2 linked regions of the Ovis aries genome follow. The protein of the gene in region 2 purifies or fractionates together with the protein of the main gene of each other region. This does not show direct contact. Links are inferred from orthologs where the notes say so. Each region holds a gene or a part of one and is shown on either strand. Other genes may lie near its edges.

Region 1 (3,500 bases), on a different chromosome or scaffold from region 2:
TTTTCATGAAATGATGGGTGAAAAGAATGGTTAAGAGAGTATGACAGGTCGGGAATTAAAGATAGAAACGACTCTGTATTGCTGCAAACGGGAACAGAAGCTAAGCTACGGAAGTTCACAGGAAAGCGACTGTTCACAGGAAAGTGACTGTTGTTTTAAGATGAGAGGGGAAAAAATTATGTTTGATTGGTGATGGAAAGCTCCAGTGGAGAGCAAAATGGTGGTGGTGTACCAGTAGGAAGAAAGGCATCACAGGGCACAAGAGGGCCTCCTCCTTTGTTCTTTGAAGAACGTATGTTAGTTCCCTAGGTTCTTTCACAGTAATGTCATTTTATTTTTCTAAGACATACCTCAATTAATAACTTTAAGATCCTGTTTGTTTATTTGATTCCTCTGGTTTGTGTTCTCTTATATAATGTTTATGGTTTTAGAATCACTTTCCACATTCATCTTGCCGGTTATCTCAAGCTCCCAGAAAAAGAGACAAAGCTGGCCTTGTCTCCATTTTACAAATAGGAAGATGAGACCCAAGGGAGATTGACTTCCTGACACCCAGTGAGTAACTAATACACAATGGAGTCTGAAACCTAGGTCATGTACTTTGAAAGGAAATAAAACACACTCATTTATATTGCAATGATAGCCAGAGTCAGTACCAAGTAAAACTGAATGACCTCTCGAAGCTGTCGCTGCTCAATGTAAGCCCAGCTACAGTGGGAGATAACATGATGAGGGCTCAGAAAGTCCAGAGCCCCGGCTCCCACCCCCTCTCTCGTGCACCCCATCCTGCCAAGCCTACAAGGTGGTTCCCAGCCGTAAATTGAGCAGTCAGGTAGCTCTCCTTATTTCAGGGAGCTTTATATCTAACATAGCTTTACTACGAGAAGTGGAGGTGTGAAAGTCACTAATAATGAGCATGTGAGCGTGAACGTGAAAGTCACTCAGTCGTGTCCAACTCTTTGCGAACCCATGGACTGTATAGTCCCTGGAATTCTCCAGGCCAGAATACTGGAGTGGGTAGCCTTTCCCTTCTCCAGAGAATCTTCCCAACCCAGGGATTGAACCCAGGTCTCCCGCATTGCAGGCAGATTCTTTACCAGCTGAGCCATACAGGAAGCCCAAGAATACTGAAGTGGGTAGCCTATCCCTTCTCCAGCGGATCATCCTGACCCAGGAATCGAACCAGGGTCTCCTGCACTGCAGGCGGATTCTTTACCAACTGAGCTATCAGGGAAGCCCGTTATTGTGAGAACTGATTTCAATTTGCCTACATAATTATTACCTACTTTCATGTTTAAGCCTTTCAGTCATAGGCATTCTTCAGCTTCAAGATAACTTCATTTTGATCTAGAGTAGGAAGCCATAAAGACTTCATTGTGTTGATTTAATAAACTGTGACCAGAGTTTATATGGTGCAGAGTTTGTTTGTTTGTTTTTTTAAATACTCTTAACTAGGAACCCAAACCTTATTTGAATATTATTTCAGAATGCTTCTGCTGACCCAGGGAGCTGTCCTGATTAATTATTCATTGATAAGTATAATTTAAGTGTCTCTTTGAATGATGCAACTTTATATAATATGAATATAAGGCATTTCAGTTGTATTTTCCTCAAGAAACTCCTTAGATATTGATCAGTGGAATAAAGTTATTGAGCAGCTAGGAACACCATCTGCAGATTTCATGAAGAAACTTCAGCCAACTGTGAGGAATTATGTAGAAAACCGACCAAAGTATCCTGGAATCAAATTTGAAGAACTCTTTCCAGATTGGATATTCCCATCAGAATCTGAACGAGACAAAATTAAAAGTAAGATATCCTTTTTTCTTATACTTGTTTTCATAATCTGGTGAAGCCCTGTTTATGTTTGCATTCTAAACTCTGTGAAAACTGAAAGATGAAATAGTTGAAAACCGTCAAAGTCATTTATAGGCAAGAATGAAGCCATTTCAGAAAGAAAGCCTAAAGACCTAGAAGTTTTGTCCTCAATAAAGGGGACAAAACTGAAGCCTCTGGTCAAAATATTTACATAGTCTGAAAGATTCTTATATTAGTTACAGCAAATGGAATTCAAACTGTTACCAGGTATAAAGAATACTTGAATAAAGATTGTCGCCCATTTGAAGAGTCAGAAATTTTTAAAGGCCTTTTCCCCTGATCCTGTGCCCATCACATTTTAATGTGTTTAAAGGAAAAGAATAGATTTGGTTTTCTCTGCATCAAGACAAACTGTGCCTCATTCAGAAGAGTTCCATCTCTCCTTTGCCTGCACACGTGAACTTTATTTGGTTTTGGTATTCATTTGGCTGTCCTGGGTCTTTGCTGTGGCGTGTGGGGTCTTGGGTTGCGCGTGCAAGCTCTCAAGTGGAGCATGTGAGGTCTAGTTCCCTGACCAGGGGTTGAACGTGGCCCCCTGCACCAGAAGTGCAGTGTCTCAGCAACTAGAGCACCAGGGAGGTCCCACCTGTGAATTTTAGTTGCTAAAACCTAGGTGAGCCTTGTATTTAACCAAGTTATTGAATTTGTTGAGTTTTTTCCTAGCTACTAATCTCTAGATTTTTTTTTAAGTGTACATTGTATACAGGTAGGCAAAGCAGAGGGCTTCCCTGGTGCAAGATACCTGGGCTCGATCACTGGATTAGAAAGATCATCTGGAGAAGGGAATGGCTACCCACTCCAGTGTTCTTGCCTGAAAATCCCAAGGACAGAGGAGCCTGGTGGGCTAGGGTCCATGGGGTTGCAAAGAGTCGAACACGACTGGGAGACTACGCACAGCACAGGCGAAGCAGAGATATCTGTGAGCTGCTGTATACGATGCGCATATGAAGTTGTTGTGTGGCTTAGTCTGCTCGGTTTCACTTTGATGTGGCATCAAGAGAAAAGGCCTGCCCGTGCTTCATGCCTGCACTCTCGGCAGTGCCACCCTCGGCTTAGCTCCAGTACCCTCCCTGTCCATGGCTTGTCAGCCTTCTGCCCTGTCCTTCTCCCCTCCCAGACTCAGGGCAAAAGCACCTTGGAAAGCCTGGTTTCTAGGAAATGGCTGCTTGATTTACTCTTAAAGAAAGAGACTAATAATCCTGAATTTATCACCAGTTTCTCAGAGTTAGTATATCTTTGTTCTGTCTGAGCTGTCACAGTTAGTTCTTTATTGTGTAATTCTCAGGATAAAATTGTTACTTTATTAATCTAATATTTGTTTTTACCCTAGCAAGTCAAGCCAGAGACTTATTATCAAAAATGTTAGTGATAGATCCCGACAAGCGAATCTCTGTAGATGAAGCTTTGCGTCACCCTTATATCACTGTCTGGTATGACCCTGCTGAAGCAGAAGCGGTAAGCATCTATTTTGAAAAGACTTGTGTGTAAAGGCAGGGCATACATTTCCCTGGATCTTCTGTCAGTCTGAAATGGCTACACAGAGATTTAAGGTTAAAAGTACTCCTGATTACTTTGAGGCCATATGCTGCTGCTAAGTCGCTTCAGTCGTGTCCGATTCTGTG
Region 2 (4,212 bases):
TCAGATGGTCACCTCTGACCGCGACCCCTCCGGCGACGAAATACAGGAGAACCTAGAGGGGCGGCGCCGCCTCCAGTTCTCCGTCGGCTCCACTCAAGCTGGTTATTTCTTCTCAGCTCCAGCTCCTTTCCTCCAGCCGCTGCTGTTCCAGAAGCTCCGGGCTGTTGGGTCCTCGGCTCCCAGGGGCCCTACACGGTGGCGGGCAACTGAGGAGGGGCGAGGGGAAGGCGGGCCTCGGGCCGGTAGCGCGCAGCTCTGCGGAGCGCGGCGCGGGGACCTTGCTCGCTGGGTGGAAGAGGGGGCGCTAGCGGGCAGGAGGCCTTGCCCGGGGGCCGGGGCGGGCGCGCGGGCTCTGGGGTGACGCCTGTGCAGCCCCTCGGGGACGCGCCCTCTGTAGCTTCTGACTGGGAACCAGACTGCCGCCTCCGAGCAGCCCTCCGCATCACTGCCTTCGAGCTACGGGTGGAGCCCCGGGAGGCAGGCGAGGGAAGCGGGGGCGTGACTGGGGCGCTGAAGTAGGCGAGCCACAGGGCGCCGCGCCACAGCCGCGCCGGGCAGCAGTAGGGCAGCCGGAGGGGCAGCGACATCTGCGGGCGGGCGGTCGATGCTTTCTGGCGGCGCGGAGCAAGCGGGGCGGCCCCGAGGACTCGGGCCGCGGCGAGGCTGGCGGGCCTCACTGCCGGTGGACGGACGGCAGACTTGCCAGTCCCGCTGGAGCCCAGGCCTCCAGCGCGTGGCCCCGGGCTCAGACTGTAGAAGAAGCGATGTCCCTGGCCGCGCTCTTACATTTATCCCCCTGCTCGGGTAGCTGGGCGACGTCCGTGAATCTTCGGTTTATCAGGTCACCTCGAGGGACTCAGGGAACCCGTTTTTCCAGCTGGGGATAGTGATTATTGTCGTTGCCTCTTGCCTTCAGAAAGTTATTCTGACACGGTTGATCAGCCAGCCAGAGTAAGAAGGGAAAATAAACAGCGTGGTCTGTCCCTTGGTGAGGCGATGTACAGGGATCCCGCCAAGTTCGCAGAGCCAGTTTTAGGCGGAGCGGCAAACACAGCCCATTGACAATTCAGCCCCGGAAAGGGTTAACTGCATCCTGCGGGTTCGGTTTACATGTAAATAGAGAGCAGCTGCTCCGCGCGGGCCCCAGTTGGCCCTTTTAAGTTTTTGATTGGTTGCCAATGACATCACCGTCCGTATTATAACACAGTGGACCCAAAGCGGCGTCGGATAAACCCTCCTTAAAGAGCCATGGCCACGCCCCGGCTCCGCCCCCTCCAGGTGCCCATTGGTCGCGGGCTGCAGCGAAGTAGCGGTCAGGTTTCTCCGGATTCTTATTGGTTCAACACGCCGTCGGTCGGCAGCCGGCCCGCCCCCTCAGAACCTTACATTTACAGTGTAGCAAAAGAGAAAGTAACTATGTTGCTGCTGGAGATCAATGAAGCCTAGTGAATGAGGGCTGAATGTGCGAATCCCTTGCTGAAGCGGAGCGCCAGATGGTGGAGGGTTACACTTATTTATGAAGTAAGTGGAAGTCACCGTGGCTACTCCTGAGAGTCCAGGGGTTTGAGGCGGTGTGAGTGTGAGTGAGTATGTATGTGGTGTGTGTGTGCGCGTGTGTGTTGCGATGTTTACGGAGGAGCCACAGCAGGTGAGGTTAAAGTGTTCCCGCTGTTGGCTCACGCCGCCCTGTGCGTTTACTCTCTCTGCAGTCTACTTGGACTGGGGGCGAAGGAAAAAATGAGGTTTGTTGGGATGCTTTGCGGCAGTTTTAAAGGCCAGGGACTTGTTAGTGCGCTGTGTTGCGAAGGAGGATGTTAAGTGCCCCGAAGTGGGGAAGCAGCATTCTCTGACCACTTAATTTTCTTTCCAGCCGCTAACTAGAGGTGGAAGGGCGACTAGAGAGGGAGGGGGATAGCTCAGTGTTTTTCGGGGAGGTTTCCTACAGGCTGTCTGGATGGTTTCACGGGCAATAGATATGCCCGACCCTCTGCTGCAGGGATGCAGGTCTCTTTATACACTCCGTGCGTGTGTGTATGTGTGTGTGAGAGAGAGCGAGCGTGTGTGCGCGCCGCGCACTCTGTGTGGAGGTGGGGGTCCCAGCTTATGTCTCCGTGAGCACGCTTCTGCGTCCCTCTCAAGGGAAATGGACTGTTGATCCTGGGACGTACCCTACCAGGTAACACAACAGCAAAGACTTTTCACCGCTGGGTCCAGCTGGGAAACAGTTATAGCTTCTGGAATAGTACTCGCTCTTCAAAAAATACTACGCAAGGGAGGAAGGGGCGGGGGAGGGAGGGAAGAAAGGAGAAAGGGAGGGAGAACAGGGGTTGGATTCTTCTTGCCCATCCAAAGGTGGTGAGAGAAAGCTGAGGCCAGCGGGGGGATCTGTGGATGTGATAGGTGCGTGCCCGTGTGTGTGTGTGTGTGTGTGTGTGTGTATTCTGCCTGTGACATTTTGGCTCTGTGTCTGAGAATGGTGACAGTCCTGTGTAGAGGGATGTTGGATGACATTTTTCCAGACATCTCTTAAAGTTGGTTTAGATGAGCTCCTCTTGCATGGCGTTTGGTGTCTCCTCTGTGTGTATGTCTAGCAGGAGAGGAGCCAGCAGGGCCCGGGAGTGGAGTGCCTCTATGCCCATGGGGAGGAAGGAACTGTCCCTTTGCAGGTACCCTCTCATGAGCCAGGACATAGACCCCTGTGGGTGACTCTTTACTTCTCACTGGGAAGTCTTTATGAATCCATCCTCTTGAAGAGGGGGCACGTCTGTGTGAGATCAAAAGATTATGCATAGTGGCTGCCTTCTGCTGAGAGAAGCTCTAGGATGTTCCTGTAGGGAAAGGAGGAGAATGGAGGGTTGAAGTGGTCCTTTCCTTAAAGGCAGGAGTGGAGTGGGTGGTGTGGCAAGGGAGACATCTGAGGGATGGATCTGTCAGGGTCAGGGTTTTCAAACCTGCTTCCCTAGCTTGAGGCTTCATTTTAGGGGACCAGTATGTAATGAAAGAGGAAATGCAGATTACTTTATAAATAAGAGGGCAATAGGAAACAAGGGAGGTTTTAATATGACTTTGTTGTGCTTTTCAAAGGACTTGGGAGAAAGAAAAGTAAGAATAGCTCAAAATTAAAGAGATTCACTTAGAGGGCTACTTTCATTCTGATGTGCAGAAAGTTGACATCTGCCCCTGATGTATATTTAGCTGCTGTATATTCCCATGAGCCTTGCCAGCACTCTTGGTCATTCCTTTGCCTTTGCAGTGGCTGAAGGAATTACATGGAAAGTATGCAAGGGTGGACGTATGGGTCCTTCTCAGATGATTGCAGTATATTTCTGCCCTGGAGATGAGGCCCAGAAGAGATGCCTCTTAAGAACCTTCCCTTCCATCTTGAGCTTTTCTGATCCTTTGTGCTTGTACTTTTTCTAAGGCTGAACTTGGATGTGGGTCCATGAAAGGTTGTTCAACATTTGCATAGACTATATCTAACCTTAGACTCAGCAAGGACAGGGGGTGGGGAGGGGGATGGTCCTCAGGCGTGCATCCTCTTTGAATCCATAGTGGTGAGTGTCAAGCTTTGAGTGACAGGAAACTGGGCACTTAGGACAACTTCACTAAGAGGGATGCAAAGTCCTTTCCTAGGGATTGGATTCGACTGCTTTTTGTGTCACATGACTTTATTCTTTCTTTCCCCCCCTCCCCTTCTTTACAGACTGTCTTGAGTTCTTCTTGAATTGCCAGTTTTCAGCCTCCTCATGCCTCCGTCTCCTTTAGACGACAGGGTAGTGGTGGCACTGTCTAGGCCCGTTCGACCTCAGGATCTCAACCTTTGTTTAGACTCTAGCTACCTTGGCTCTACCGCCCCTGGCAGTACCAGCCACCCTCCTGTCATCGCCACCACCGTTGTGTCCCTAAAGGCTGCGAATCTGACGTATATGCCCTCATCCAGCGGCTCTGCCCGCTCCCTGAATTGTGGGTGCAGCAGTGCCAGCTGCTGCACTGTGGCAACCTACGACAAGGACAATCAGGCCCCAACCCAGGCCATTGCCGCTGGCCCCGCCACCACTGCCATCGGAAGCTCCACCACCTGTCCTGCCAGCCAGATGGTCAACAACAATGAGAATGCAGGCTCTCTAAGTCCATCAGGTGGGGTGGGCAGCCCCGTGGCAGGGACCCCTAAACAGCTAGCCAGCATCAAAATAATCTACCCCAATGACTTGG

The links.
Region 1: the proteins of DUSP10 (region 2) and MAPK9 purify together in Homo sapiens (affinity purification with mass spectrometry; 3 studies listed by BioGRID and IntAct, with this or other methods). This does not show direct contact. The link is inferred for Ovis aries from reciprocal best matches to the Homo sapiens genes DUSP10 and MAPK9.

Annotation. Positions count from the first base shown.
Region 1 is NC_056058.1:773,957-777,456, forward strand, and holds part of MAPK9 (mitogen-activated protein kinase 9), read left to right. Parts: exon of another isoform or gene 1-1,408; intron 1,409-1,626; coding exon 1,627-1,809; intron 1,810-3,208; coding exon 3,209-3,333; intron 3,334-3,500. UniProt on the Homo sapiens protein: Serine/threonine-protein kinase involved in various processes such as cell proliferation, differentiation, migration, transformation and programmed cell death.
Region 2 is NC_056065.1:24,475,604-24,479,815, reverse strand, and holds the start of DUSP10 (dual specificity protein phosphatase 10), read left to right. Parts: upstream 1-1,412; 5' UTR 1,413-1,521; intron 1,522-3,703; 5' UTR 3,704-3,746; coding exon 3,747-4,212. UniProt on the Homo sapiens protein: Protein phosphatase involved in the inactivation of MAP kinases. Has a specificity for the MAPK11/MAPK12/MAPK13/MAPK14 subfamily. It preferably dephosphorylates p38.